Linked DNA regions of Elephas maximus indicus. Each later gene encodes a partner of the first gene's protein in a complex. Links are inferred from orthologs where the notes say so. Each region holds a gene or a part of one and is shown on either strand. Other genes may lie near its edges. The genes, in order: NALCN, UNC79, UNC80 and NALF1.

What was found.
Region 2: the proteins of NALCN (region 1) and UNC79 are in contact, whole or in part, in a cryo-EM structure (PDB 7SX3), measured with the Homo sapiens proteins. The link is inferred for Elephas maximus indicus from reciprocal best matches to the Homo sapiens genes NALCN and UNC79. Residues at the interface, in NP_001337678.1 of Homo sapiens: Gln349, Met350, Phe351, His352, Glu353, Gly358, Trp359, Gln360, Leu361, Phe712, Ser713, Ile714, Arg717; in NP_001333147.1 of Homo sapiens: Cys861, Gln862, Ile865, Glu968, Pro969, Asp970, Phe1020, Gln1022, Pro2088, Asp2089, Ala2092, Pro2093, Leu2095, Leu2096, Met2099, Leu2139, Pro2141, Asn2142, Gly2143, Ile2144, Gln2147, Leu2148, Ser2151.
Region 3: the proteins of NALCN (region 1) and UNC80 are in contact, whole or in part, in a cryo-EM structure (PDB 7SX3), measured with the Homo sapiens proteins. The link is inferred for Elephas maximus indicus from reciprocal best matches to the Homo sapiens genes NALCN and UNC80. Residues at the interface, in NP_001337678.1 of Homo sapiens: Asn639, Met643, Val644, Ile646, Lys648, Leu649, Pro650, Phe653, Val655, Pro656, Lys657, Ile658, Arg659, Glu660, Phe662, Met663, Lys664, Gln665, Phe666, Ile667, Arg669, Val711, Ser713, Arg715, Ala716, Arg717, Leu719, Lys722, Glu723, Ala725; in NP_115893.1 of Homo sapiens: Lys1979, Asn2004, Glu2005, Cys2006, Asp2007, Leu2128, Arg2129, Leu2130, Pro2131, Pro2134, Arg2135, Ile2138, Asp2139, Phe2142, Phe2145, Ser2146, Glu2179, Asp2184, Glu2185, Met2187, Leu2188, Asn2191, Asn2194, Ile2198, Leu2199, Glu2202, Ser2226, Leu2227, Ser2228, Gln2231.
Region 4: the proteins of NALCN (region 1) and NALF1 are in contact, whole or in part, in a cryo-EM structure (PDB 7CM3), measured with the Homo sapiens proteins. The link is inferred for Elephas maximus indicus from reciprocal best matches to the Homo sapiens genes NALCN and NALF1. Residues at the interface, in NP_001337678.1 of Homo sapiens: Cys207, Val209, Asn220, Leu222, Ala223, Ile224, Pro225, Thr227, Tyr237, Pro240, Phe243, Tyr406, Glu409, Phe909, Ala1044, Lys1045, Asn1047, Pro1049, Arg1054, Ile1060, Arg1062, Ile1063, Asn1064, Val1065, Ser1066, Lys1069, Lys1080, Lys1081, Gly1083, Phe1084; in NP_001073865.1 of Homo sapiens: Lys278, Glu281, Phe282, Val285, His287, Lys288, Tyr289, Leu290, Gln291, Glu294, Tyr295, Ser296, Val297, Lys298, Ser299, Tyr308, Trp311, Leu312, Gln315, Leu335, Gln338, Thr339, Cys341, Phe343, Ile344, Leu345, Pro346, Asp347, Asn348, Asp349.

Annotation. Positions count from the first base shown.
Region 1 is NC_064841.1:66,276,011-66,283,774, reverse strand, and holds the start of NALCN (sodium leak channel NALCN), read left to right. Parts: upstream 1-4,751; 5' UTR 4,752-4,824; intron 4,825-7,764. UniProt on the Homo sapiens protein: Voltage-gated ion channel responsible for the resting Na(+) permeability that controls neuronal excitability. NALCN channel functions as a multi-protein complex, which consists at least of NALCN, NALF1, UNC79 and UNC80.
Region 2 is NC_064828.1:107,068,651-107,075,503, forward strand, and holds the start of UNC79 (protein unc-79 homolog), read left to right. Parts: upstream 1-3,853; 5' UTR 3,854-3,968; intron 3,969-6,853. UniProt on the Homo sapiens protein: Auxiliary subunit of the NALCN sodium channel complex, a voltage-gated ion channel responsible for the resting Na(+) permeability that controls neuronal excitability.
Region 3 is NC_064824.1:108,203,870-108,211,486, forward strand, and holds the start of UNC80 (protein unc-80 homolog), read left to right. Parts: upstream 1-4,605; 5' UTR 4,606-4,648; coding exon 4,649-4,740; intron 4,741-5,681; coding exon 5,682-5,730; intron 5,731-7,617. UniProt on the Homo sapiens protein: Auxiliary subunit of the NALCN sodium channel complex, a voltage-gated ion channel responsible for the resting Na(+) permeability that controls neuronal excitability.
Region 4 is NC_064841.1:73,626,912-73,633,908, reverse strand, and holds the start of NALF1 (NALCN channel auxiliary factor 1), read left to right. Parts: upstream 1-3,996; 5' UTR 3,997-4,611; coding exon 4,612-5,496; intron 5,497-6,997. UniProt on the Homo sapiens protein: Auxillary component of the NALCN sodium channel complex, a channel that regulates the resting membrane potential and controls neuronal excitability.

The DNA.
Region 1 (7,764 bases):
CTACACTTGGGCCCAAGTCTGTAAGTGATACTCATCACCTCTCTTCTCTGTCAACCATTCTAGATTCCCTTGCCCTCAGCTAGCACTTCTACCTTTCTGAGTGGCTTGCCTTGTGGGAGGACCCAGCACATCAACCCAAGTGGCTATGAGCCCCTGGTATTGATGAACATATTAAGATATTTTATACAACAAATGAGATCTTTGAGGGTACTTTCAGAACTGGGTTCTGGAAGATTTACTTGTAGCTGATAGCAGCTTTTATCAAATCGTCAGAATCTGCTCCATTTTGTTGCTGAGTGATTTATTTGAAATGTGACCTTAGTTTTCAGAAGTCCTCTGGTTCCTTTGGGTGATTGGCTCAGCTGCCATTCAGCACAAAGAGACCTCTGTTTTGCTCCCAGAAAGACTGTTTAATTGGTATTTCTTTTTACCCTTGATTTCACAGTCTTTTTTCCTTCTTCTTCTTCTAAACCCAGGTTTCCTCTGAAATAAAATGTGAGCTAGGAAAAAATTCCAATTAATCTTTAATATATGTAAGTGTGAAGACCATACTTCCTTCTACAACATATTATTTGTTTGTTCTCTGTTCCCCCTCCCCCTATATCAAAAAAAAAAAAAAAAATCATAGGCAGTGTATTTTCCATAAAAGGAATCAATTCTTGTTCTAATATGTTTCTGCCTAGCTTAAGAGTTTCTGTCTTTTTGGGTTTAATATCATCTTTTTTTTCCATGCTTTTACCCTACCTTCATTTATTTGCTGTTGAAGGTTATGCTGAGCCTATCTCCTATCTGCGGCTAATTTCGCTGCAAGTAGGAACTACTGTGAACATAAACTGCCCTATGACAACCTTGCAAAGACCTCACATTGATTCTTCAGCTGGTCTTTTACCCCATAGATGCACTGGCACGGTTTTGGTGCTTCACATAACAAAACTAGAACTTAAACCATGTGTAAGGATTCCAGAGCTAGCCGAGTGTCCATATGATGATGTCCAGAACTGGTCCCAGGTCCATATGGCAATGAAAGTACACAGGACTTGCAGCAGAGGGAAGGGAGTGGGCAAGTCCACTCTGGTCTATTAGGAAATGGATGCCTGTGAATATGTACCAACTGCTGGTATCCTGCTGCTCAAAGGTGTTTTTTTTTTTTTTTTTTTAATCAAGACAGATTTTCCATAGTTTCATGTCTCGCTCCGGACATACTTAACCAAAATCTTCATGGAAACATTTAAGATGCCCAGATTACCCTTATTATCAAAGGAAGTTGGTAAGCATTGCCTTAAGGGAAAAGTAAGATGTGAGACATTTTCCGAAATCATCTAATGCTTATATTAGAATAGAGCAAGCCACAGTGGAAGTGTTTGTGGTCACCTGAAAATGCTGACTCATGAGAAGACAAGGAATTAGTGAAGTTTTCCATCCAGAATATTGCCTGCATGTGATGACCACCAAACCAAAAGATCTTTCCTCATTGGAAACTTAGCACATTTGTTTCCTTCTCAAGATCTGAGACAGGATGAAGTAAGGTGAAGGAGGCCTTTGGGGGCGCATGGCTAAGTGCTTTTTCCTCTTGGTATCTCTTCCCTTTCCCCAGAGACAAGCAATCATTTTATGCTTCTCACTGTGGAGGTCCAGGAAGCAAACAGTGTTAAACCTACCCCAAGCTTTCCATTATCAAAATGTGTCTCTTCTGCATAGAATGAATTTTGTATATGCCAATCTGTGTTAGTGGATTAGCGAGCCCTAGAGTGCCCTGTTTAACCTGTTTATATTTTTTAAATGGGTCTTCTGGACCTTTCTTTTTCTTCCCCCAAATATCTCTTAACAGGGAAAGTTCGAGCACATCGATATTTGGCACTAAGTGGGCCATATGTTAGCCCTAAGATCACACAATAAAAGCAAGTATGTACAGATTAAAACTAATTTTAAGAGTCTCAAAAAATTTGGAGAGTTTTGGGTAGTTACCAAAGTGTAATTCACCTGTAAATCTAATCTAACAGAATCCACAGTAGAACTCAGTACATATATATTCTCATAGAGTATGTAGCATTTCCCTCATGGTTTTTATAATTTTCTCTTTTAGCATTGTTATTGTTTACTCAGTAATGCACTATGGTGTCAAACAGGATACTAACTTAAGTGAAAATAACCAAGAAGAACAGATAAATTAGAGAGAAACAAAAGCCCTGTTTTCATAAAATTCTTACTGTCTTACATTCCATAGTTACTTCCATTCTGAAGGACTTGTCAGTTTATGAACACAACTTTCTCTAGGCCATATTTTACTGGCTTGGTTGTACATTGGCCTGGTTTTACTCTATTTTGTGAAGTCATCTTTGTAGCTGGACAGTTTTCTCTCTGTTTAACAACATCCCTTCCTCAATCTCACATTGTTTAATACAGATTTAACTGTATGGGATCATGCACTTAAAAGTCTTCTGGGGCCTGTTGCTGAAGCTGACTGAGGGGGAATGGAGCAAATGGTAGGCCGGTTTAAAGGAGGCGGCCATTATACCTCCAGCTCTTCGCCTCGCAGAAACGCAGGCCTGACCTAAATTAAGAATCTCCTGTTTTTCAAATGTTGATAATTGATCTTGAGTTTTCAAAAATACTTTCAAGCCAAAGAAAACACACCTTTGAATTACTAGATTATAGCAATGATTATAACTCCAGAGCCTGTTGGTCCTGAAAAGATGCTTGACCATACCTGGGCCCTCCTCCCTAATTTTAGTGATAAGAAAGTAGATGGGATGATGAGCAGGTAGAAGGGGTAATGTGATTTTGGGACATAATTATCTGCCATTTGGGATGACTGTCTACACCCACGTACAATGAGTTCCTACAGATTCCAGGAGGAATGTGTACTGAGCTTCTCCAAGGCTGCTTCCTTGAAGCTCATGGATTCACAAAGACTGTGTCTCCACCAGCCATGGGTTTGTTTGGCTCTTATGCATGAGTTTTAGATGCTTTAAAGTTAATTCAGACTTTGACAGAAAAGAGTCTGAAATAAATACCTGTTTGGTAAGGGCTGGTGCTGAGATGAGTGAAAACAGCGTATTTTAATTGCTGCCTTTATCACTTTAGTCAAAGCTTTGTAAATATCTTGATCCTCAAATATTTCTCTCTAACTGGTGATTCTAACTTGATGGATTCCAAAGGATGATATGCAACCATATTTCATTTAAGATACAAATCAAAATAAACTAGTATTTAAATCGAACAATGAAAAGCAGTGCCTTAAGATGATTAAATAGTTTTCCTAAAGAAATTGGCATATAACTATTATTTAAATGACTTTCCATTTTGTGTCATGAAGAATATTTCCATGTAGTTTCATCGTTTGTTTAAAACTTAGCTTTTTATGAAATTGGTCTTCTAGAAATCTTCCAAATCTGAAGAAAAAAAAAAATCATCAAGTTGTATATTTCATGAAATGCCAGTTATTTTTCAATTTCCTACAAATGACCTAAAGTATTAATAGGGGAATGGATTGTGAATAGTTGGATTTAAAATGATAACAATTAAAAATCCAGAGCCAGAAAATACATTTTCAAAGATGTTTTAGTGTGTGTGTGTTTTTGCTTTTATTCCTTGGAAGGTAACATTTTGTGACAGAAAATAGTTTTTTGGTTGGAGGTTCTGATTTCACTTTTAAAGGAAGCTCATTTAGTTTTCCCTCACCATTTATGTATATGTCTGTGTAAAAGATCTCTAAATCACCGTCAAGGGTTCTTCGGTGGTTTTAACACCTGACTATAGGGCAAGACACCAATCCCACAGTAAATCTTTCTGAGCATGCGACTGTGAGGTTGTCCACTGGGCCTAAGGATAGTGCAGGGAGCCCAGATTTCTTGAAACCTGCTCCATCAGAAGCCCCAGGAAACACTAGTTGCAGCTTTCTGTGGGATTATGAATTGGTGGCACAGTTGCTAGCCAAAACGTCGGCAGTTCGAATCCACTAAGCCGCTACTTGGAAACCCTATGGAGGAGTTCTACTCTGAGTCGGAATCCGCGGGTTTGCTTTGGTTGGTTTGGGTAGCGTCAGTTTGTGAATGGACATTCAGCCTCATCCACAGAAAAAACATTTTAATGGAAAATTTAAACATATTTAGACGACTATTTATCATTAGTGTGATGTTTTCACTATTTAGCAATTTCATCCTCAGGACGAAACTAGTGCACATCTTCAGATACTGCGTACAGTAACACAAGATCGCGCACAGGCGCGCGCGCACACGGAGGGTTTGATTGCATCCAGGCAGCGGCATTGCTTGGATCCCACGTCTGCCCGACTCCAGTGCACACGGCTGCATCTTGTGAACACGGCAGAGACCACGAGCTCGCGCCCATAATAGATCCCAGCTGTGGCTGTGAGACTGATTGCCCGTGGCAGCCAGCGAGAAGGAACCTGCTGGTACCGGCCCTCCAGGTCCCCACCAACTGCAGAGCAGCCTCGTCTCTGGTTTCCTCCCTTCAACTCACAGCATCATCGCAGCTCCTGCAGCACAGCCAACTCAAAAATATATAAAATAATAAAATAAAGTAAACCCTTAAAATTCTCGATCCCAAGCACCCCGCAGCCGCCCCAGTGCTAGCACTGTAGCCCTATTAATTACTAAAATTCAAGCAGAGCCGCGGTCCCTGGCCGGGGTCGAGCGCGCGATGACGGCAGCTGACATAGGTAAGGTGCCCGCGCCTCCGCCGGGGTGTGGGGGCCGCGCCTTTGACCGAGCCTGCCCGCCACGCTTGTCCCGCCCCGCCGCCCGAGGCCGCCGCCGCCGCACCCCGCGGTCACCGTGACCGTTCTCAGCGTTAGGGTTACAGGTTGGTTATTGCCGCTGCGCCCGGGGAGGCCGCGGTTCGCCGGGCCGCGGTGCTCAGCGCAGGAGGCCCGGGGCGCGCTTTGGCTCGCCTCTCGCCGGGGTTGGGCCGAGGGAGGCGAGAGGGGGGCGCGAAAGGCGCTGGGGGAGAGGGCCCGGCGCGTGCGAGGGGAAGGGGCGCCACCACCTCGTCGCAGGGCAGAAGGGGGCTCGCCCCCAGGCGGGGAAGGGGCGCCGGGGCCCGCCTTGCGCCCTCCCCTCCCCTGCCGGGCGCGTGGTTTGGCGCCTGCAGCCAGATGCACTTTTCCTGGCCTTTGAAGCGGGCAGGATGCTGGAAGTCGGGGTCGGCCAGATCTCCGGCCTGCTGCCCCCTCCTCCTGGCATCCAGCAGGTGTTGGGGGGCTTGCAGGTGGTTAGTTGGGAATGAGGTGGCTGCACATCACGGTAGCTGCTGCACTGACCCCTCCGCACCCAGCCTGCAGCTTGGGTGAACCTCAGGGCAGACAGGCAGGTGTTGGGGGGGTGGGGGGGAGTCCGCTCCAGCAGGTTTCCAGAAGGATTATGGCCTTGCCTCCTCCTCCCATCCATTCCCGTGCTGCTACGGATTGCTGTTTGCTTAATATCCCTCATTTTATTAATTGGCCTTCTGCGCGGCTATCATTAGGGTGGCTGCCACACAGCAGGTCAGAGCGCTGCTCTCCCAGAGCAACACCATTTTGCCACTGAACCTTCAAGAGACCGACTGGAATGTATCGACCTGAACTCCGAGCAAGGGGTTATGTCTCTGACTCCCATCTCCTCTTTTAGGATAGTGTAGTAACTCTGAACTCAGATCTGGATAGGTTCTTGAAATACTACAGGATGAATCAGTTTCACGCATTATTTTTTAGGGACTATTTTATTAAGGTTGTGTAGAAGACACACACGGATTCAGTCCTCGAGGGTCTTACTAGCCCTTAATCTGTATTTGTCTGGTCATCAAACTAGGCCCGTATTTCGTTGGTGGTGACGCGCCAGTGACTGTTATGTATAAAAAGGCTATGATTGATACAGAAGACCACTAATATGAGTCAGAAATTAACAAAAATTGGCTTTTTAAAAAAAATTATGATTGATGTTTTCATAGCTGTAATATGGCTTGAAATTGAGAAAGGAGTCGGTGGACTATGGCAGTTACTCTGAGCAGGAACACTGGATTTATGAGTTGAGGGATTAAATTTCAACAGTTTTAAATAAAAATCGTGGCTTCCCTAACCTCCACAACAACGACCAAAATGTATTTCCCAACTGGCTTTCATTTTGTGGACCTTTGTGTGCTGTCTCAGGTCGCTCTAGGGTCACTACGAGTCGGAATGGACTCGACGGCAACGGGTTTGGTTTGTTTTTTTCTGTACTGTGGCTGGGTGGGTAAGAGCTTGGCGGCTAACCAAAATGTCGACAGTTCGAATCCATTAGGCACTCCTTGGAAGCCGTATGCGGCAGTTCTACTCTGTCCTATAGGGTTACTGTGAGTTGCAATCGCCCCTACAGCATCAGGTTTGGTTTTTTGGTTTGTAGTGTACTTTGACCCAGCCACTGCTAAAACCGGATAAAATGAAGGGGAAAAAATTAGGCTTTTAGTTTGAACAGCTCATTGGGCCTTCTTAATATTTTAGAAGACTTGACAACCGGACAGAACTGAGGTGCCGTCACACTATGTGACCATGCTTTAGTCTCTGTAACAAGTTATTTCTTGTGAAAGGGTGGTAATATAGGTTTAACTCTGGGTCTGACTTCCAAGATATTCAAGAAAGGACAAACACACACACACACACAAAAAAAGTCTTCAAAATATTGTGATTTGCTTGCAGTCTAGAGAATAGAGAATTGAAGGTCTCAGTAGCATTTCCTTCTTCTTGGGGCATGACTTTTTTTGAAATGTGTTCCATTTGCTTCTGTTCTCTTTCCTGAGTACGTTGTGAGTGTACGCGTGTGGGTATGTGTGCATGCAAGTGCTTATTTATCATTTGCCCTAATACTGCTGAAATAATTTGGGATTTTTCCTGGCTATATATATATTTATCCCAAGGAAAGATTCACATGTAGACGTCAAGTTTGTGAAGAAAAATTCGCATCCACACACACCATTGTATCCTAATATAAATCAGGCACTACGCCAGGAGTTGGAAGTTCAGGGCAGAAAAGGGTTGGACCTAGAATCTCAGAATTTGTCAGGAAAGACAAATATAAAACCAATTGCATACACAGCAAGATGAATATTTATTTTGTGTATTTTCCCTAAAACTTTCAGGAATGAAAATCTTCTACTTCCCAACTAGTGTTGCTTCAAGTCTTCCTGTTTGGGGGTAATGCAAGAACAAGAACAGCAAAAAAACAGTGGCCTTTGAGTCAATTCTGGCTCGTGGCGACCCCATGCGTGTCAGAGTAGAACTGTATGCCACAGAGTTTTCATTGTCGGATTTTTCCAGAAGTAGTTCATATCAGGTCTTTCTTTCGAGGTGCCTCTGGGTGGATTTGAACCACCAGTCTTTCAGGTAACAGCCCAGCACATTAACCATTGTACCATAATATACAGAATTTTTCAATAAAAACTGTGTAGGAGCAATCTGAATATAGAAGCAATCATATAAAACAAAACTATATCCCAGATTTAAAGATTCTCTATTTTAATCGTTCTGTCCTCTCATTATATTATATTCTAGTTTGGGGTTTGCAAATTATAACCGTGACCTTAAAGAGATCAATTATAAATTGTCCCCAAATAGCGGTATGAACATTTTAGAACTTGATTACCATGTTATATGATACTTGCTTGCCTCAAGGGCCCTTGCAAGGAGTTTTCAAACTTCGAAAACTGCTTGTGTGCAAACTTTAAAGAAATTTTGAATTTATTTTTTAATTTAAAATAATAAGTAATATAAGTGATAGTTAAAAAAAGAGTAAA
Region 2 (6,853 bases), on another chromosome or scaffold:
CAAGGAGGGAGAGTTTCCAGAAGGAGGAATGCACTGATAGGTCTAGTAAAACAACTGGATTGGCAACATGGAAGTTCTTGATGATCTTAGAAAAAGCAGATTCAGTGCAGTGGTGGAGGTGGAAACCGGAATGCAATGAGTAGAAAAATGAATAGGAAGTGAGGAAGAGGTGAGAGTATGTGTACAACACTTTCAGTGCTCTTGACTGTGAAGAAAGAGACCAGTAGTAGATGGAGTGGAATATAAAATCAAGGAAGAGTTTTTTTAATCAAGGGAGATTCTAGAATATGTTTTAATGCTGATGGAAATGATTTAGTAAGGAGGGAGGTCGATGTAGGAGAGACAACTGATGGATGGAGAGCACCGTGGTGGGATTGGCATTTGGTAGGAAAAGCAAAGGAGATGCAGATAGGTTTTCGATACTATATATGAGCCCTGGTGGCACAGTTGTTAAGAACTTGGCTGCTAACCAAAAGGTCGGCAGTTCGAATCCACCAGCAGCTCCTTGGAAACCCTACGGGGCAGTTCTACTCAGTTCTGTAGGGTTGCTATGAGTCAGAATCGACTCGATGGCAAGGGGTTTGGTACGGGTTTTTATGTGTTGAGTATGTACTAGGTACTCTGCTGAATGATTTAGATAATAAGCGATTTATTCCTAGTAGCTGTATGTGGCTGGTATTATGATTATTCCCATTTTACAGATGAGGAAACTGGAGTTCTGTAGAGATAGAGCCAAGATCTTAATTCAGAACTATTTGATTCAGATCTTATGCTGTTAACTCTTATTTGTACTCTTAGAAGATTTCTCATAGATGGCTTCTATCTTCTTAAAGTGTTAGGAAAGGGGTGGGTGTGGATGAGTTTTGAGGAGAAGGGATGAAACAGTGATTAAAGTGCTTGGAAGTGGGAGCTTAAAAGAGAAATGTGGCCTTACGGTCAGTTGAGGTTGGAGATCATTTGTTTATATCCATCCCGCCCAATTATCTGAGTCTCTGAAGCCATATTCACTATCTGGGGGAGTAAAGAACAAGAACTCTGTCCTGCGATAAGGCTGCTGGTTGATCCCATCAAGTTTATTAACCGAACAGCCATTTCCCGTGTACAAGGTTGAATTGTACATGAGTTATATTCACACCCTCAGCACAATTACAGTTCACTATATGTCAGGGACTTTTCTGGCTGCTCTCAAGTAGTTAAAATCACGCAAGGTAAATCCACGACTGCTGAGATTTTGCTGCATTCCACAAAATGCGTGGATCAGCGTGAACATTCCTTCCAACCTTTTCTGCAAACTGTGTTTTCTGACTACTTATCACTGTCTTTCTTCCTTTCTTTCCTTTCTTTATTTCTTCCTTTTTCCCCTATCTTCACTCATCAATTATTGTGTTTATGTGTGTGTACACACACATACACGCATATATATGTATATGTGTACATATGTGTATATATGTATATATATATCCCAAATGTTAAGTGCTGTGATTAAAGTATTAATTCATTTGTTCATTTATCCTATCATTGAGTACCAGGCAGTGTGTTAGGTTTGGGAAAAGAGGTAAGATACAGTTTCTGCCTTCAAGAAATTTATAACCTGGTATAGAAAAAAAAAAAAGAAAAAGAGGTAAGTAAATAAACAAAGCCAATGAAATGTGCAGTTTGTAAAATATTAAAATATCTCAAAGAAGGGAGTGACTCTAGACTCTGCTTTCCTTTGCATGCTTGGATACCCATTGAAAAGAGCTATTGCTGCGTTTTACTGGAAGTATAAAAATATCACTCATTCATTCCACAAACATTTTTTAATTCCTGCTGTCTTTGTGTAGTGACAATTTTGTAGCTCCTTTTAATTATGAGCAAGCCATCTTAGTTGGGAGATCCAGGACTTTTCTCTTCATTTGAGCTTATTGTACAGACCCTGCACGATCATCAACTTCTTTTTTAGGTGGTAGAATGATGAATGGTATTCCCAAAATACTCTACAGAAACCTCCTGAATATTAAAGCTTGAGAAAAGTCACAGTAATGAAGCATTTTTGTGATGGTGGATGGGCAGGAAGCATATGCTGGCCTACCAAATATCTCAAATATTTCAGACTTGGAACTATGTATTAATATGGGGTTCTCTGTAATGTAATTTTTTATTTTTTTAAAAAAGAAGAACAGCAGGTCAAAAACACTGAGAAGAAAATGGATTTTAGTAGATGATAGAATTAAAACAGTTTAAACATCACCTATTTATATCTTATCTCAGGAAAAAAGTTATTTACAACCAAACACGTATTATGGGGTTAATTGAGACAATGGATATAAACTTGTTGCTTTCTTCCGAGCTGATGTACTGTACAAACTAAAGGTATTATTATCTGCAATCTGCAATTTTTTTTTTTTGATAAATGCCAAACATATTATGAGTATAGTACAGGTAGTAAAAGGGAGAAAAGGCAAATCTGAGAAATGGTATATGTAGGATTTAGGATCAATGATTAATTTAATAACAGCAGAAAATTACCACTGGCGTTGATGTCATGGAATAAAAACCTGCTATATACGTATTGACTTCGTTTCAGAATCCTATTCTGAGAGTACGTCATAATGGAAAGAACACTGGATTGGGAGTTAGGAGATCTAAGTTCTAGTCTTAGTTCTGCCGTTAATTACCTGTGTGCCTCATTTTCTCCATCTTTAAAATGAAGTGTTTATTGGAAAAGGTCTCTAAGATCTTCCAGTTCTGATATTTCAACATACTGTGATTCTATGTCCCACCCCTGTCAGAAGCATTTTGACTTTATTAAAGTTGCATAAGCCAGAATTTCAGTTAGAGTTCATCCAGGGCCTTATTTCCATTGGATATTGGGAACAGCAAGGCCTTGCTTCTCCAGGACTTGATATGTCTTCTGTTAACTGCTGACAGTGAGCCATACCACCCAAGAGGCTCTCTTGGTAGCCTTAAAGATTGAAAGGACAAATGAACAGTATTGAGAACTCTATGGAAGAGGAGACCAGAGAGAAGTTGATCATCATGGCTCCTTGGAATTTGCAAAGAGGAATGACTAGAACTGACCCATTCACTACAGCCAGGTCCAGAGTCAGGTCAGGAATGTGGACATTGCTGGTGACCGGAGGTAGGTGTAGGAGGGTAAATGAATCTATCTAGTCCCTCCTGAATCTTGAGAAGATCTGGGCAGCCAAGCTCAGAGAGCTATTAAGAAGTTGCCTAATTTCTGAAATCCTTTGGAAGAAAAATGTGACACTCATTTTTAAAAAATATTTTTATGACCACATAGTCATTGTATTCTTATTTAATACTCATGAGGTTAATGTGCTCTTAACATATTCTTAGAGTTCAAGCATTAACTAAAATGTACTTCCACGATCACTTACTGAGTTAAAAATCTGGTCGCAACTGATGATGTTGTGCAATGGACTCCCTATTTTTTAGTATTTTTAATGTTACTGAAAGACCTTTGAGTTTTCTTCTTCAGTTTTAGTTAACCAATATTAAAGATAATTCTCTGGTGGCAGAGATATATATCTATTGTTATTTTGCTAATAGCAAGCTAACTTGGGAATGATTATAAAACCATTTGGAGTGCTGCTTTCCTCAGTGATAAGAAAAGGTAATGAGTAATTTGTGAATAGGATATTAAGCCAGATAACTGAGAATAGTTTTGTGGGCTGAGTATAGTGATACGAAATTCAAAGTATTTTATAATTCTATTATGGAATTCTAGTAAAAATTTACATTAGAAATAATTAGTAAAGTCCAATATCTGATCATTAAAAAAATAACTGTATGCCTAATACATATTACAAGATGATCCTTCTTTTCTTGTTTTGCTTTTATCTAGTTGCTTCCAAGATCCGGTACTTGCAGGAATATCATAACCGGGTCCTTCACAACATTTATCCTGTACCTTCAGGAACAGATATTGCAAACACCCTGAAATACTTTTCTCAGACCTTATTAAGGTAAGCTTTAAAATATCCTCTACTTTGAAAGAATTATTAGGTAGTACTGCTGAATTTATCGGGACCTAAATTTTTATTGAACAGAACATTTTGAAGGGCCTGAAGCTTTCTAGTGCTCTGCCAGAAGAGTATGGACTCAAGTCCTCTGGGTGTATATAGCAGATCAGCTGGAAGGCCTCATGGAAATAAGTGGGTTGCTTGGCTTTTGCCTGCTTTCCTTAACTGAATGCCTTTTCAATAGATTTATAAAATGATGAAAGTTATATGGCACTAATATAGAGTGAGGTTAAAAGGAGAATGTACCTTGCCTTTAAAATTAAGACTAGGAAACAGTTTTGGTCTTCCAGAAAATCACAATTATGTAGATTTTAGTTTCGATACTAGTATTTCTTGAAGTATAATCTATGGTAATAACAATTCATTTTAATTGGCGTAACACTTCATGTGTTACGTGCTTTACAATTAATATTGAAGCTCTGTGGAGAATGAGGAACCTAAAGACGTGGGAACTCTTTATATTTCCCAAAGAGAGGAGGGACCTATCTGCTTCACACTTCCTGTTAGGAAAAGCAGCAGACAAAGACGAGCCTTTCAAGTGAAGCCTGAGTTGTTGTGGGAAATAATATCAAAGTAGGAACATCTCACTTTCCATTAAATTCTGAGGCTTGGTCTCTTTCGTTACCATGATCTTCTCATCTCAAATCTGGTTTTGGAAACATAGAATTGAATTTACTGTTTCTTTTAGCTATACAACAGCAAAAGTTTCATAAAATAGATATTATTAGGAAAAGAACACAAATTCAGGAGTGACCATAGTGGCATTGGATTTTTCCAGTGGTTTAGGCTTTCCCACAGGCTGACTGAATGCTTTCTGGAAAGAAGGTACTAATCTTCCGCAGATGGGCCATCTCTATTTCCTTGCTATTCTTTGGAATATCTTTTCTTTCATTAGACTCGTTACTGTCTGTATTCTGTATTAAAGGGATCTTGTTTATCAGATTCATAGATTTTTTACTCACACAGTAAATTTAGGATCCTCTAAAAGGACATTTTCCGTCCTCTTCAATTGCAGTGGAATCATTAGCCCAGTTTTCATGGTATAATCAGATAAATTTTTAAATCAAGGCATCTGATTCTGTTCTCAAGAGAATTCTCTTGAATTTGAGATCAGGATTCTCAGAGGGAAGCTCTTTCCTTTGTCACAAATTCTGAAAGTTCTCAAAGTGAGAGACACTTTTCAGCTGGAAGCAAATTGTGAATTCCATTTGCAAAGAAACTGTGACATCCTAGTTGGCACTTTGGAGCTTGTTGTTCAGGTCTTAGTCGTTGTGCCAAAAAGTTAAGAAATTCAGGATAGTAAAGCCATGTTTGGAAGACACGAAGATTTCATTTTCTTCAGCAATGGATCCTTGGAATATGGTCATGGATGATAGCATTTTAACGGTGGTTAAATGTAGTTTGTTAAAGTGGCCTGTTGGAGAAGATTGTATGCAGTTTAGCTGAGTCCATTTTCAAAGGGAGACAACATCGACAACAACTACTAATGGTAATACTAACAATAGCTATAATTATTATAACAGTATTATATTATCATAATAGTAAATACATGTGTCAAGCAGTGTTGTAAGCATTTTATATATATCATATCATTTAATCCCTCATAACAATTCTATGAGATAAGTGTACTATTATACCCATTTTACGGACAATGAAAACTAAGGCATAAAAAAAAAAAAGGCATAGAGTGGTTAAATAAGTTGTCCAAAATTACATATCTAATAGGTGGTAGAACCAGGATTTAATCCTGTTAGTCTTAATCCAGAGCAAATGTTCCCAATAATTATGCTATACTGCTTTTCCTTGTTGTCGTTGTTGTTAGGTGCCATTGAGTCAGTTCTGACTCATACCCACCTTGTATACCACAGAACAAAACACTGCCCGGTCCTGCTCCATCCTCACAATCGTTATGATTGAGCCCATTGTTGCAGCCACTGTGTCAATCCATCTTGTGGAGGGTCTTCCTCTTTTCTGCGGACCAGGCATCATATCCTTCTCCAGGGACTGATTCCTCCTGACAACATGTCCAAAGTATGTAAGACGCACTCTCGCCATCCTTGGTTCTAAGGAGCACCCTAGTTGCACTTCTTCCAAGACAGATTCGTTCATTCTTTTGGCAGTCCATGGTATATTCAATGTTCTTCGCCAACACCACAATTCAAAGGCATCAACTCTTCTTTGGTCTTCCTTATTCATTGTCCAGCTTTCACATGCATATGACACGATTGAAAATACCATGGCTTGGGTCAGGTGCACCTTAGTCTTCAAGGTGACATTTTACTTTTCAACACTAGACTTCCTTTGTAGCAGATTTACCCAAAGCAATTCAGCTTTTGATTTCTTGACTGCTGCTTCCTTGGGTGTTGATTTTGGATCCAAGCACAGTGAAATCCTTGACAACTTCAATCTCCATTTATCATGATGTGGCTTATTGGCCCAGTTGTGAGGATTTTTGTTTTCTTTATGTTGAGGTGTAATCCTTACTGAAGTCTGTGGTCTTTGATCTTATCAGTAAGTGCTTCAAGTCCTCTTCACTTTCAGCAAGCAAAGTTGTGTCATCTCCATAACGCAGGTTGTTAGTGCATCTTCCTGCATTCTTGATGCCCCGTTCTTCTTCATACAGTCGTATTATTTGCTCAGCGTACAAATTGAATCGGTATGGTGAAAAGATACAACCCTGACACACACCTTTCCTGAGTTTAAACCACGCAGTATCCCCTTGTTCTGACCAAACAACTGCCTCTTGATCTACGTACAGTTTCTTCATGAGCACAGTTGAGTGTTCTGGAATTCTCATTCTTTGCAACGTTAACCATAATTTGTTATGA
Region 3 (7,617 bases), on another chromosome or scaffold:
CAGTAGCTCAGACATAGTAACAGTTGTGAGACATATGGTGTTTTGGGCTAAAAATGCCCAGGACATATGGGATATAGTTAATGGTACATCAGTAACTCTACATAGTGGGAGAGACCCCCATAGTAGGTAGAACCTCTCTGTTCAGATTCCAAACCTACAGCATCAATGTAATCATCACACATTTCTGACTAATAGACACATGACAACAGCAGTCATCCTTCATCTTCGACATCTTATGGGTAATGGTGGGCTCTTACAAAAAAACTGTTTTTATTAATTACTATAAGTGTTTATTTTAACACTAGCTCTCACCTACTTACACAACACTCTGGATTCTGTTTACTGCAGCAATCTTTTCCAAAGCCCAGCCAGAGTTCTCTTCTGCTCAGTTTGTCTGCCAAGAATGTTTATTCACATGCTTATCTTACAACTTGGCATTTGACACCTATCAAAATGTCCCCTTCCATTAAAAAAAGAAGATGACCTTCAGGGATGATATATATTTAGCTGCATCTGTCTGGATCCTATTAAAATTTCTTTTTATATGCCTTCTGAGGCCCAGTAGTCAGTTTCCTTTCCTGGTCCAAGGCTACTCCATTCCTTGGCACCATCTTTGGAGAATCCCAAGTACCATCTTTGGTTAAGCTCCACATCCAATCCAATGCCTTGCACGATGGAATGGTAATATCATGCAATGATTTGGAAGGAGCAATTCATTAACTGCAGTAGTGTAATTGACCAGATGAACTCAGTTCTTAGCTTTCCTCCAACAGTGTTCATCTGAATTGGGGGGAAAAAAAAAAAAGCTATGAAAGAAGGCAGTGTAGAAAAAGCATTTAAGAAGGGTAAATTTTCTCCCAAAAGTATAGAAATATTTGGGGGTTTTCAGTGGGTGTATGAAAGGTAAAAGATCATGGTATCTTGATTTTCCACTAAAATGTTATTTTGACAATTAATTTTGACAGTGCTTATTTTAGATTTCTTCTGCCTCCAGATAATTAACTGCCTCAAGAGCTTTCTGGAATGGGAAACCCCATGATGTAGCTCCTTCATCTTCTGTGCAGCAAAGTGATTATTTTGTGCATCCTTGGATAGCTTCCACTCACATCACTCATGGCACTTCTTCCAAACCCTGCTACACAATACTCAATATTTAAGCAGAAAGTCGGGCAGGAAATTTGAAGTCAGGTTTCACAGCTTCCTTCATCATTTACTTAGGCAGGCTGCGTAACTTTTCTGTGTCTCAGTTTTCTCTTCTTTAAATGTTGGTAAAAGGGTTTTTGTGAAGATCAGTTAATCAATGCACTTAAAACAGACCTTGGCACATAACAAGTGTTCAATAAACACTATTTGTTATTAATATTTTTCTGGCAAATGCCTTACTCCTCTGCCATTAAACACTTGTAGAAAATGACTTTCCTGATTAACTCACAGCTTAAAAAGTCCGTCAAGCCTGAACGCTTTTATATTTTCATCTTTCCCCTCTTCCTAATGGTGGCATCTACCATTCTTCCTTTTTATCTCCCATCTCAAAGAGAACTCATTCCTCCACCCAGAAATGATCGGCCAGCTGTGCATCAGATATAATCTCCTTCAAAATTCTCTTCCTAAATTATCCTCTCAAATATCCTTAACATTTCCCTCTTCAATGACTCTTTAATTCTGGTCCATAAATAGGCCCCTGGTTTAAAAATAATTTGCTTATTTTTTAAAAATCCTATATGGATCCTGGAAACCTGGTGGCATAGTGGTTAAGTGCTACAGCTGCTAACCAAGAGGTCAGCAGTTTGAATCCATCAGGTGCTCCTTGGAAACTCTATGGCGCAGCTCTACTCTGTCCTATAGGGTCACTATGAGTCGGAATCAACTCGACAGCAGTGGGTGGTTAAATGGAGCCCATTCTAGTGCCTGAGTATTTTCCTTTATTTTATTTTCAGACTTGTAAAAAGATTATTGAACACTCTCTGGTTTTCCACCTCCACTCTCCACTCACTCTTCAGTATTCTGGGTCTCGTTTCTCTCTTAATAACTCAAATAAAAACTACTTCAGTTCAGTTTGCCTTTACCAGAAAAAAAAAAAAAAAAAAAAAAAAACCTCTAAAACTTGAACCAGCGGGATTTTTTTTCAGTCTTTTCTCTTCTTGAACTTTCAGCTGTTCACTCTTTCTATCCTGAAGTTCTCATTTTTTGGTATCTTGGTTATCTCTTTGTCTTCTCTAACCTCTCCTTTTCAGCATCTGTATCAGTTGTTTATTTTTGGCATAACAAATTACCACAGCCCAAAACAACACAAAGCTATTATCTCACAATTTCTGTGGGTCACGAGTTTGATCATGGCCCAGCTAGATCCTCCTCTCAGGCTTCACACAACTGAAATCAAGGTATCAGATAGGGTTGTGGGCCTATCTGAGGCTTGGGGTTCTCTTCCGAGCACATACAGTTTGTTGGCAGATTTCAGTCCCCAGAGGCTATAGAATTCATGGCGACTTGTATCTTCTTTGCCAGTAAGCATCTGCTACAATTTTAAATCTCTCTGATTTCTTCTGCCTCTGACCCAGATCTAAAAGGTTCGTGGGATTAGGTCAGGCCCACCCAAGACAATCTCCCTAATTTAGTCAAATGATTTGGGAATTTAATTACCTCTGCAAAATCTGTTCACAGTACCATTTAGATTAGTATCTGATTGAATAACAAGGAGAAAGTATGTACACTGAGGGAGGGGGGAGTCTCCAGGACATCTTCCAATACTGCTTACCCCAGTATCCTATGCTGTCAACACTCAAAGGCATTCTTTGTGACAACTGATTAAATGTTGGTACTACCTGTACTTCCAAACTTGAGCCCTTTCTTTTCTCTTTCCGCTTATTCACATGGATTATTTTATCTACTTCCATGTATTCAGCTACCTTTTATACCATGTTGACCACAAAACCAATCTATCTTACAGAGTTAACTCTTCTGAACTCTCTATCCATATTTCTAACTGCTTCCTAATGATATAGGGTTGCTATGGGTTGGAATTGACTCGATGGCAACTTTTTTTTTTTTTCCTAATGATATCCATTGGAATCCATTAGGGACTTAAGGAAAACTCATTACTGCTTCCATAAACCAAAACCAAACCCACTGCTGTTAAGTAAACTCTGACACATGGTAGCCCCATGTGTTACCGAGTAGAACTGCTCCATAGAGTTTTCTTGGCTGTAATCTTTATGGATGCAGATCACCGGGCCTCTCTTCTGTAACACTACTGGGTGGGTTAAAACTGCCAACCTTGTGGTTAGTAGTTGAGGGCAAACCGTTCGCACCACCCAGGGACCTTAATGTTCCCATAAAATAAAAATAATTTTTACATAAAGCAAGAATATGATTCTTCCTGTCAATATTTTTCCTGTCAAATTAGATTACCAAAACAGAAAATTTGGAGTTTTGGTTAATATTTACTGAAAGTTTAATATAGATCAGGGACTTTCTTAAGTTCATTACAAGTATTAACTACCAGTGTTAACATTCAATCCTCCCAAAATCTCTATAGGGAAGGAAACCTTGGCAAAGTTTTTTTTTTACTTAGCCAGAATATTATATCTAGTAAGGGGTAGGCTGGAGTCTCAGATGTCTGTCTCAAGACCCAAGATCTTAAGTACTATGTATCTATGTTTCTTTCCCCATGCCCCCTTGGGGATTAAGTCCTATTAATTCTACCTCTGCAGTGTCTTTCAAACGGATTTACTTATCTCAAGCCCTGCTTTCACAACCTTGATTCAGGACAACCAAAGGAAAATGGCAGATACCACTGGGGTGAAGAGGATCATCCAGGTGCATTTAGTGGACCATCATATACTAGATTTCCTCGTTGCATGATTCAAATGACCTTCCTAAAGTTGCAATAACTGATAACCAATTTCTTGAGGTTACCAATTGAAAACAAATTCTCACATCAGAATTTTGAAGCTTCCTCTGACTTGCCAAGCTTACCTCCCTTCCTGTTTTACATTTCTAATCATTTTCATGCGCTCCTTCCTGTTAAACCCCGAGGGTAGACTCCTGACCTCTTTGCTAGAGGTGCGAATGATGCCAGGGTTAGTGACTGCTCTGCGGTTTCCCAAAGCTCCTCCTCCCCAGACCGTGACAATTCTTCGGATGCCGAGGTTGGGAAGCAGGACAGAGGACACTCCTGGGGTGCAGTTCGAAAAGGGGAAGGCAAACCCTGGGGGCTGAAGAGGCCAAGCAGGGGACCGGCGTGCAATGCAAAGCGTGGACCCTCTAGGTCATTCCCAGGCTGCTCCACCTGCCCCCGGCTCGCGTCTGTGGCAGGGCCGCCCAGCGCGGACCGCTGTCCACAGTGGGAGGTGCTGAAAGCAAGGAGCGGGCGCGGGGGCGGCGAGGCGGACAGCTCCTCGGAGCGCCCCCCTCCTCGCTCCGCGGCTCCTCCAGCCCTCCCCTCCTCCCGCAGCCATGTTCCGCGTGCGGGGAGGGGCGGGGGAAGGGGAGAGGGACTCGGGATCAGGGCGGAGAGAGCCAGCTCTGCCTTGGGGAAGGAGGGGATGAGAGTTGGGGGGAGCAGCGGGAGGAGGAGGAGGAGGCGGTGGCGGCGGCTAGCGAGGAGCCGGCGCTGGGTCCTGCAGTAGGACTCTCGGGAGCCACCATCATGGTGAAGAGGAAGAGCTCTGAGGGCCAGGAGCAGGACAGCGGCCGCGGCATTCCCCTGCCCATCCAGACCTTCCTGTGGCGGCAAACCAGGTGAGGGGCGCAGAGGGCGCGCCGCGGGTCGCCCTGGGCTGGGGGCGCTCCTGGGGCCGCCCGAGTCGCCGCCTCTGCCGCCGCTGCCGCCGCTGAGGCCGCGCCACAGCCTGCAGCTCCCTCTCTGGGACTAGAAAGCAAGCCCTCTGCACCCTCTTAAAAACGCGCATTTTTTTTTTTTTAAACGTATCAATGAAGTTTGACGACAAGTAGATTGGCAGTTGTCAAATAAATATATACATTATTAGGTGGCGGGAGGGCAGATAGCCTGGGAAGCGGGGGCAGGGAACTGGTGAAGATAATTATGACTGGCTGTGCTCCTGCGTCCAATTCCCTCTCCACCTCCTGCTGTAATTCTACGCGGTGACCTGTTGTTTTTCCAGCTCCTGTTTGGCGAATATCTGCTATGCCCACTTGTTAACTATTTTTGCTCGGATTCAGCCAGTATAATCTTCCTGTCTAAAGCCCTGACGGAGAATGATTTTTGATAAGGGATTGCTTTTTCCTGGAAAGGCCTAAAACCTCTTCCAATTAACAGAAAACAAAATTTTCTTTATTATTATTATTAGAGATTTATCGGAGAGGAAATTAGATTCTGGAAATCATGACCCACACGCCATATTTATTTTTCAGCTTTCGATATGACTGTGCACATCGGTGATGCACCACTTGTAACCCTTGATGATTTAGACTCTGATTAAAAGTCTTCAGGATAAGAGCGGGTACAGAAGACCGCAGAGCTCCACATTTATTTCATAGATATAATTACACATGTAAACGCCTAGTCATCAGCTGTTCAACACCTGCTCATTAACAAGCTGTAGGGAGACATGAAATTTGAGTTTCATAGGATCATGTCGTGTTCATTGAAAATATGTCATGAGGGTATTTTAATATATTTGTACTTATGTTTATAACAAATATCTCTATTGGTTTTTCAGTGCATTTTTGAGGCCCAAACTGGGGAAGCAATATGAAGCCTCCTGCGTGGTATGTGCTTTTCACCATTTAATGATTAATCCCATATGCCGTGTGGTAACTTGAACTCAAAGAAAGATGTTAAATGATACTGACTGTATAAATTATTTCATTCAGCACGTATCATTGAGCACCTATATGCCAAACGCTGTTCTAGGTGCTGGGAATAGGGAAATGATTAAAATAAGCATAGTGGGATAGGGCAGGTCATCATCAAATAAGTGGAATACATAGTAAGTCAGATGGTGATAAGCACTACGGAGAAAAATTAAGCAAGAAAGGAGGTGAGGGAGCATTAGAAGTAGGGATTTCATTTTCATAAGGGGAGAGTGGGTGAGGCCTACCTGCTAGTGTGATCCTTGGACAAAGATATGAAAGAAGGGAAGGAGAGAAATAGTTGAGGGAAGAGCAGAGGGAACAGTATGTCTGAAGGATCTCAGGTCAGAGTAGAAATGAAATGGCAGGATTGGCAGAGGGAGATTAGTAGGAGAGGGTAGGGAGATAATGCAGAACCACGTGATGGAAGTCCTTGCAAGACAAGTGTGAAAAGTCAAATCCTTAACCAACAGTTGAGACTGTTACATAATGGAAGTTCATATAAGAGTGCCTGTGAACAATTCAAACAAAGCAGTATGCAACTCTGAATTTGTATGTCTTGCATATGTTGTGCAAGCCTGAAAATGGAAGATATAATTACGGAAATAATGCTATTGATATTTAAGCAAAATAAAGTTCACTTATCCTGAGTGCTAAGGATATTCCATAACCTTACAAATTCCCATTTTGTAAATTGAGAAAATAAGTCATAAAATCATCCAGCAAAATTGAAATAAACTTTTCACAAATTTCCTTAAAACCGGGAGCTCTTGTAAAAGCCTTTACATTGCATATAGTATAGCCTAAAAGTAGACGCATAAACATTTGGATATTGGCATGCATATTTGCAAATGACTACATGAATGTCTCTGTATTAAGGAGTTGTGAAATGCATTAGGGCCACAAACTATGGTGGAAGCTAACTGAAGAGTTAAACACACTCACACTGACACATAGACACTCAAGTAGGAATTAGTTTTGTTCCATCGCCTGCCTTTCAAAGTTGTCACAGAAATATCTTTATAATTAATTTTCTGATAAAGATCTTTTTTAATGAAATTTGTTGTTGTAGTTAGTGTATATCAGAGGGACTTGACAATTAAAATATGTGAGCCTTCCTTAAACCATGCCGACACTTATCCTAGCTTAGAATGTTGTTGTTAGGTGCTGTCGAGTCGATTCTGACTCATAGAGACCCTATGTACCACAAAATGAAACACTGCCTGGTCCTGCGCCATGCTCACAATTTTTGTTATGCTTGAGCCCATTGTTGCAGCCACTATGTCAGTCCATCTAATTGAGGGCCTTCCTCTTTTTCACTGATCCTGTACTTTACCAAGCATGATGTCCTTCTCCAGGGACTGAACTCTCCTGACAGCATGTCCAAAGTATGTAAGACGTAGTCTCACCATCCTTGTTCTAAGGAGCATTCTGGCTTTACTTCTTTTAAGGCAAGCTTTGAATAGTCTAGACTTTTTCTGTTCTTGGCTAAGAAGTGTTTAGCATTTTTAATGTAGTCATAAAGTTTCACAGAGCTAGATCAAGTATCATGTATATGAAATGACGTATACCAACAATATATGTTGTTGTTAGGTGCTGTAGAATCACTTCTGACTCATAGTGATCCTATGTACAACAGAATGAAACACTGCCCAGTCCTGCACCATCCTTACCATCGTTGCTAAATTTGAGCCCATTGTTGCAGCCACTGTGTCAATCCATCTCCTTGAAAGTGTTCTTTTTTGCTAACCCTGTACCTTGCTGAGCATGATGTCCTTCTTCAGGGACTGATCCCTTCTGATC
Region 4 (6,997 bases), about 7.4 Mb from region 1:
GTGAACCACGTTTAAAGCAGCAAATACATCTGGAGTGGTGGGGTTAAGGGAATGGAATTAGTAGAAAAGCCCCGGTGGTGCAGTGGTTGAGAATCTGGCTGCTGAGCAAGGGCATGGCAGTTCAAATCCACCAGCTGCTCCTTGGAAACTCTGTGGTGGGTGCAATTCTACTCTGTCCTAAAGGGTTGCTATGAATCAGAATTGACTCCACAGCAAGGGGATTTGGTTTTGGTGTACCTGACATGAGGAGCTTTGGTGGCACAGTAGTTAAGCACTTGGTTGCTAGCCATGAGTTCAGTGGTTCCAACCCACCTGCTACGCTGTGGGAGAAAGATGGGGCAGTCAACTTCCATAAAGATTTACAGCTTTGGAAGCCCTGTGGGACAGTTCTTCTCCATCCTGTAGGGTCTCTATGAGTTGGAATTGACCAGATTTTTATATCTGACATGAGAAAAGAAAGACTAAATATGTATTTCAACAGCAAGTACAATATTCCATTTCAACACAGCTGTCTGCCAGTTTTTTCTTTGAAGAAGTTAATGTCGTCTTTACACATAACCAGAAACCCTGGTGGCGTAGTGGCTAAGTACTACCAGCTGTTATCCAAAGAGTCAGCAGTTCAAATCCACCAGGCACTGTTTGAAAACTGTGGGGCAGTTCTACTCTGTCCTACAGGGTCGCTATGAGTTGGAATCGATTCAGTGGCGAAGGGTTTGGTTTGGTTTGAAACACAACCAAGGTTATGTGAATCACTGTGAACGGGAGCAGGTCTTACCTGATTTGAAAGTCCAAACTGCGAGATTTGTAGGTACACTGAGTGGGAAAAGAAGAAGGGTTTGGTGGGGGCAGGGGCAGCTGTAAGAAGTCGGGAAATGGTGGCTGTTTAGTTATTTCAGACCTGGAACCATTGTAACACTGACTTTGTTCACTTTCCTGCCTTTGGAATCGCTGAAGGTCTCTGGTGTGTTTTCCCTTTTCATGTTAAATAGCCAGAGGCTCTCAGGTCACCCCTGTCTGGAAACTAGGTCTAAATCTACCTGTGCATTTTCTGTGGAAGCTTTCCCTGCTAAGGGATATCCTGCGGGCTTTATCAATCAAGGGTTTTCTGAGCTTTCTATCTTACACAGGAGAAAGAGTAATACACATCTTTCCAGACAGCGTTTTCAAATTAAGAAGAAACAAGGTGAAGAGAGGTGAAATGGGGGTAGATAAAAGAAAGAAGCTAGATAGAGAAAATGGTTTATAAAATTAAACCCTGTAACCCAGACATTAAGCAACTAAATTGAGACAGAGAGAAAGAGGAGAAAAGAAACAAGAAATATCCCTTAAAATAAAAAATATCCAGCGCTGAGTTATAAGAAGAAAAGCATTGGATTATTAAATTAATCCACACTGTATCACAAAGACCCTACAGGTTCAGATCAACAGGGAGAGGGAGTCATTTCAGGATTCAGAATGTGATAGGTTTCCTTTCATGTTCTACAAAGCCATGTTGACTGAGACACAGAAAAGCAGATTTCTGATACTTTCTTCCACAAGCATTTGTTTAGACAACAGAAAATGCCAGACTCTACACTCAGTGATGTCTGCATGCAGCCTTTTATGTTGAAGGTTATATTTAAATTTGACTTGGCTTAAGAGGACAAGTTTTAAATTTAAGAAGAAAGCAATTATGACAATAGGGAGGGAGACAAAACAAAATGCTTTCTAAAATTTTAGGAGATCTTCCCAATCTATATCTTTATTCAAATCATTGGCTGAAAAAATAAAATTTTATTCAGTGTCGAAATAATTTAAATTAGCAAAAGATAGAAGAACTGAAAGACTATCTCCTCAGCTTAAGCCAGGTTCAGATACAAAGCTCAAAAAAAAGTTTTTTTTGTTTTTTTTTTGGTGTTTAATTTTCAAAAGAACATAATTTTTTTGCTTATTTAAAGATGCTTCAAGTAAGGATAAACTTGCCATAGTAGGGTATATTTGGTAATTTTTAGATCCTTCAATTAATCAATAAATTTCAACGCATTTAAATCCAAAAAATTTGAATGCTATACTTACCAAAATAGTATTTTAAAACATTATATGACATACTTGTAGATCAGCCAGCCATCAAACTGAACTTTGTTGATCACTGCATATGGTTTAAAAAAAAAAAAACCCAAACCAAACCCATTTCCATGGAGTCAATTCTGGCATACAGGATAAAGTAGAACTGCCTCTTAGGGGTGGTGGATTCAAACTGCCAGCCTTTTGGTTAGCAGCCTAAGCTCTTAACCACTGCGCCACCAAGGCTCCACATGGCTTTGTATATATCTTATGCCGCCGAAGGAACCGGTTGGTTGAATTATGCCAGTACATTTTGCAACTTTTTAAAAATACCTACTTCTCCCCAATTCCAACAACCACCGCCCCTCTAATAAACATTAATCAAGATATCAGTTTAGGTCGAAGGCGCGCCAGTACCACAATTCTGGGTGTGCACCCCGGCATTGTAGGAGGATCACTAGTAACACCGAAGACAGGTCAACCCCGCGATTGTCAAGCGGAGCAAAGTGCATGCCACGCGCGACCACCAGAGAGAGCTGGGCTAAGCCCTGCGCTCTGCCTGGTGCGCTTACAGGAGGCGCCCGGCACCAACGCCACGTCCCTGCTCCTCTGGCCCCAGCGTGGGGTGGGGGGCAAAGAGGGTAAAAGTAATTCCGAGGTTTGCCCACAGCTGCGGCCGGTAGGAGCCAGGACCGAGCCAGGGCACTCCAGATTTTCCCAGCGTGTTTGGTGCTTTCCTTCTCAGAACTCTGCGAGTCAACGCTAAGGGGCACCAGAGACTCGGGCTGCAGCGCCTGACGCCCAGACAGCCCAGCGCACAGGCTGCTGCGGAAGCCCTGGACGGCAGAACACCCAGTTCAGGGGGGGCTGGGGAGCGACAGCCGGCTTGGGAGGGGCTGGGGGTTCAGGAGCTCAGGCTGCTCCAGGTCCCAGGAGGAATCCCCTAAATTTAAGACATGGAATGAGGAAGAGAGGGCTAGGTCTCAACTGTTTTTTCCTAAGACTTTATGAGGCCACTTCTAATGTCTTTTTGCTTTAGAATACGAAAACATGAATATAAATATGTAGCTGTTAACGTATACACACACTCATTCCTTCCATATTATAGGATCAGTTGACAAAATAATTTAACACTATAATGCTGTTAATCTCCACTTGTCTAGAGATCCCGGGGTGCATCCAAAGAGACCAAATATCACCCTGTCTCCTCTAGACAGCTCGGGTTTACTCCCCCGGCCCCCACCATTATTTTGACATAAACCATTCATTAGCTAAGAAAACAGTACCCAGACCCTTGCCCCCAAAGGAACCTCTAACCGCCCGTCTGAAACTCGGACTTTTTCCGGGAACCGAGAGGAGAGGGAGTGGGAGATGCAGAAGAAATTAAACATCGTTCCCAATCATGCGGTCCACATTCTGACTTTTTTTTTTTTTTCTCCAGTGATTAAACAAGAAGATAGAGTGGGGACCGGGAGGGGCAAGGACAGAGCCAGGACCCGAGCTGAGAAAGCCCCGGGCCGGTGGGGGGCTGGGGGACGCTCCCCGAAGCCGGCCCCCGCCTCCTCCTTCCCCGCAGCCTTCGCCCTCCTCCTCGGGCCGAAGCCGGTGCCAATGCGCCAGGGTGGAGAGCTCTCGGCGCGGGAGGAGATGACGCAAAAGCCAGCGCTCCCCCCCAAAAAGTGTTTCTTCTGGACGAAGATGGCGGCAACTTAGCCGGGGGACTGAAGATGACCGTGGCTCTCGGGAGGCCCGGCGCAGGCGACTCGGCCCCCAGGCCCGGCGCGGACGGCGCGCGCGGCCGCCGCAGGAGCCCGGCAGCGGCGTGGGCAGCGGGAGCCCCGGCGGCGGCGGCGGCAGCGCCCGCGGGCAGACCTGCGGCAGCGGCGGCGGCGGCGGCGGCGAGAGCGCGGGGTGGGGGGTGGGGGGGAGGGAGAGCTCTGCCGGCGGCGGCTGCCCAGGCTCTGGACCAGGGGAGAGCGAGACAGAAGTAGGAGGAGGAGGAGGAGAAGAAAGAGGCGAAGGGAAAGAAGGAGGAGGAAGAGGAGGAGGGGAGGCGCTCTGGTCGCCGTCAGTGGGCAGCCGAGACGCGGCATGCCCCGGGCAGTGGAGAGCCGGCTGGCCTCGGCAGGGCCATGGGGACCCGCGCTCTGACAATGCCGGGCTGAGAGGAGCCGCGCCAGGACCCCGCCACCTCCACCATCACCTCCTGCACCCAGCCTCCCCGCCGGCCACCAGCACCAGCCTCCTCCGCCTCTCTCTCTCTCTCTCTCTCTCTCTCTGTCCCTCTCTGCATTACTGTCTTCCACTCCACAGAGGATGGGGTCTGCCGAGGAGTAGGTCGGAAGCCAGTCAGCCCTTCCTCCAAAGCCTGGTAATCTTTCTGTAGGCAAAAGAAGAGAGAGAGAAAAGAGAGGGAGAGAGAGCAAAAGAGGGAGAGAGAGAGAGGGAGAGAGAAGAAACGGGAGGAGGGGATAAGGAAATTAAACCCTTTAAGTCAATGCATATTGTGGTGAGACCGGCACAGGAGCCCTCACGGTGGAGTCGGCCAGGGCTGTGCGTTCCCAAAATATGACCAGGGGTGCTTGGATGTGTCGGCAGTATGACGACGGCTTAAAAATCTGGTTGGCAGCACCCCGGGAGAACGAGAAACCGTTCACCGATTCAGAGAGGGCTCAGAAATGGCGACTGTCTCTGGCATCTCTCTTGTTTTTCACAGTCCTGCTCTCTGATCACTTGTGGTTCTGCGCCGAGGCCAAACTGACCCGGACCCGGGACAAGGAGCAGCGGCAGCAGCACCAGCAGCAGCAGCGGCAGCGGCAGCAGCAGCGGCAGCGGCAGCACGAGCCCGCCTGGCCGGCGCTCCTGGCCAGCATGGGGGAGTCCTCGCCCGCCTCCCAGGCACACAGACTCCTCTCCGCCTCCTCGTCCCCCACCCTGCCCCCCTCTCCGGGAGACGGCGGCGGCAAGGGCAACCGAGGCAAAAACAACCGGAGCAAGGCTCTTTTTCTAGGAAACTCTGCCAAACCCGTGTGGCGCCTGGAGACTTGTTACCCCCAGGGCGCCTCTTCGGGCCAGTGCTTCACCGTGGAGGACGCGGACGCCGTGTGCGCCAGGAACTGGAGTCGGGGGGTGGCGGCCGGGGGGGAGGAGCAGCAGGTGAGAGGGAAGCAGCAAACCACGCTCTGGAACTTGTCGGATTTTTACCTTTCGTTTTGTAATTCCTACACACTTTGGGAGTTGTTCTCGGGGTTGTCGAGTCCCAGCACTTTGAACTGTAGTCTGGATGTGGTGCTCAAGGAGGACGGCGAGATGACCACCTGCAGGCAGTGCGTCGAGGCTTACCAAGACTACGACCACCACGCTCAGGAGAAATACGAAGAGTTTGAAAGTGTGCTGCATAAATATTTACAGTCGCAGGAGTACTCGGTGAAGTCGTGTCCCGAGGACTGTAAGGTAGGAACAGTGGATTCCCCCCCCCCTTTCTGCGTTTTTCTGGCCGTTTGCTTGGTTGTGGTATCTTCCAGTGTTTTTAAATATATATATATATTCCCTCCCCCGCCCCCGTGGTGGTTACCGTGGTTATAAGAGCTTGACTTCGTGCTTGAGTTAGGGCTATCTGTTGGATTGCAGGGGGACTGATTTTTTGTGGGGAGGGGAAGGTGGGGGGCATCTTGGAAGATCACGGAAGACCCTGGTCTTCTGAGATGAGAAAGCTAATGCTATTATTTATTTCTTAGGACTATACAATTAGCTCAAACTCTGTTAGGTTTCATAAAAACTGGATTTTGAATGTCGCTTTTTAGGAAAACAGTGATGGGGCCGCATGCTGACGATCATTAACTAAAGTCAGACTAGTCAGAAGCAGCATGCACAGTTTGGCAGATGGACTCGCACACCTGAATCCTCTTGTAATGCCGTTATTAAATTGGTTGACTAGCAGGACGATAGAAAGTTTTTTGTGGTAGTTGAAGTAGACTTAAGGAAAAGCATTTTATCAGTTTTTACAGGCGTTGTAGTGGTTACAAAGTCTGGGGGCCTGTATTTTTCCTTGGACTTGGTTGTGAGTAATCATTCATCTGAGACCCACTGTGGGTGGCAAGTTGCAATTGGGTATCTAGTGATCCATTATCATTGTTGGTTTATTTATCAGACACCTCATGTAATTAGCTTGAATTTTCAGAATGCTCTCCGTAATTACTAACTGGCAAGTGCTTGGTGCTATGAGCTAAATTTTACTGAACTCTTTAACTTGTATTATGTTCAGCTTCTTCCTGTTGACGATATAAAGAATAGAACCCTTGCTGATTGGCGAAGAAGTGTATGCAAGTTTCTTAGGAAATGACCAGTGCCACCATCGGTGCGTAGACCAATTGTCGCTATCCATGGTGCTGACACGAGATTTGCCCAAGAATTCTACTGAAGCTGCAGATGATGCAGTGACCTTTAAGTAGCAAAGCAGTGATGACAGACTCTCAATTAGTCTTAATGTATTGTTCTAAAGATCACTTCTTCACCAACAACAAAAGAAACATTGCTTTTCAACAGAAATAATACCCCACATCCTCTTTTTATCTCTTCTCTATTCCCCCAACCTGATACAAAACATCTGTCTCTCTGCCTCACTTGCCTTTTGTCAGGGAGACAGTGATGGGAAAGTGCAATCAAGGGAAGTATGGGTCGAAGGATTTTGTGAAGTTTTGACCAAAAAACCAGCATAAGAGATACCTATTAAAAATGAACATAGAGCAAGGGCTGTATTTTAGCTTGGGCTGACTAGTTGTGCTTTTGGTAATTAAGCTGATGCAGACTGATTCTGCTGTGTTAACATTCTTTAAGAGCGGAAACGAAGATCCACTTCGAAAATAGCAATGTTAAGTTCATCACATTAATGTAGAATGCAACTTCACTTAATAATTGCATCTTAAACTTTACTACTTTTTTTTTTTAAACCGTA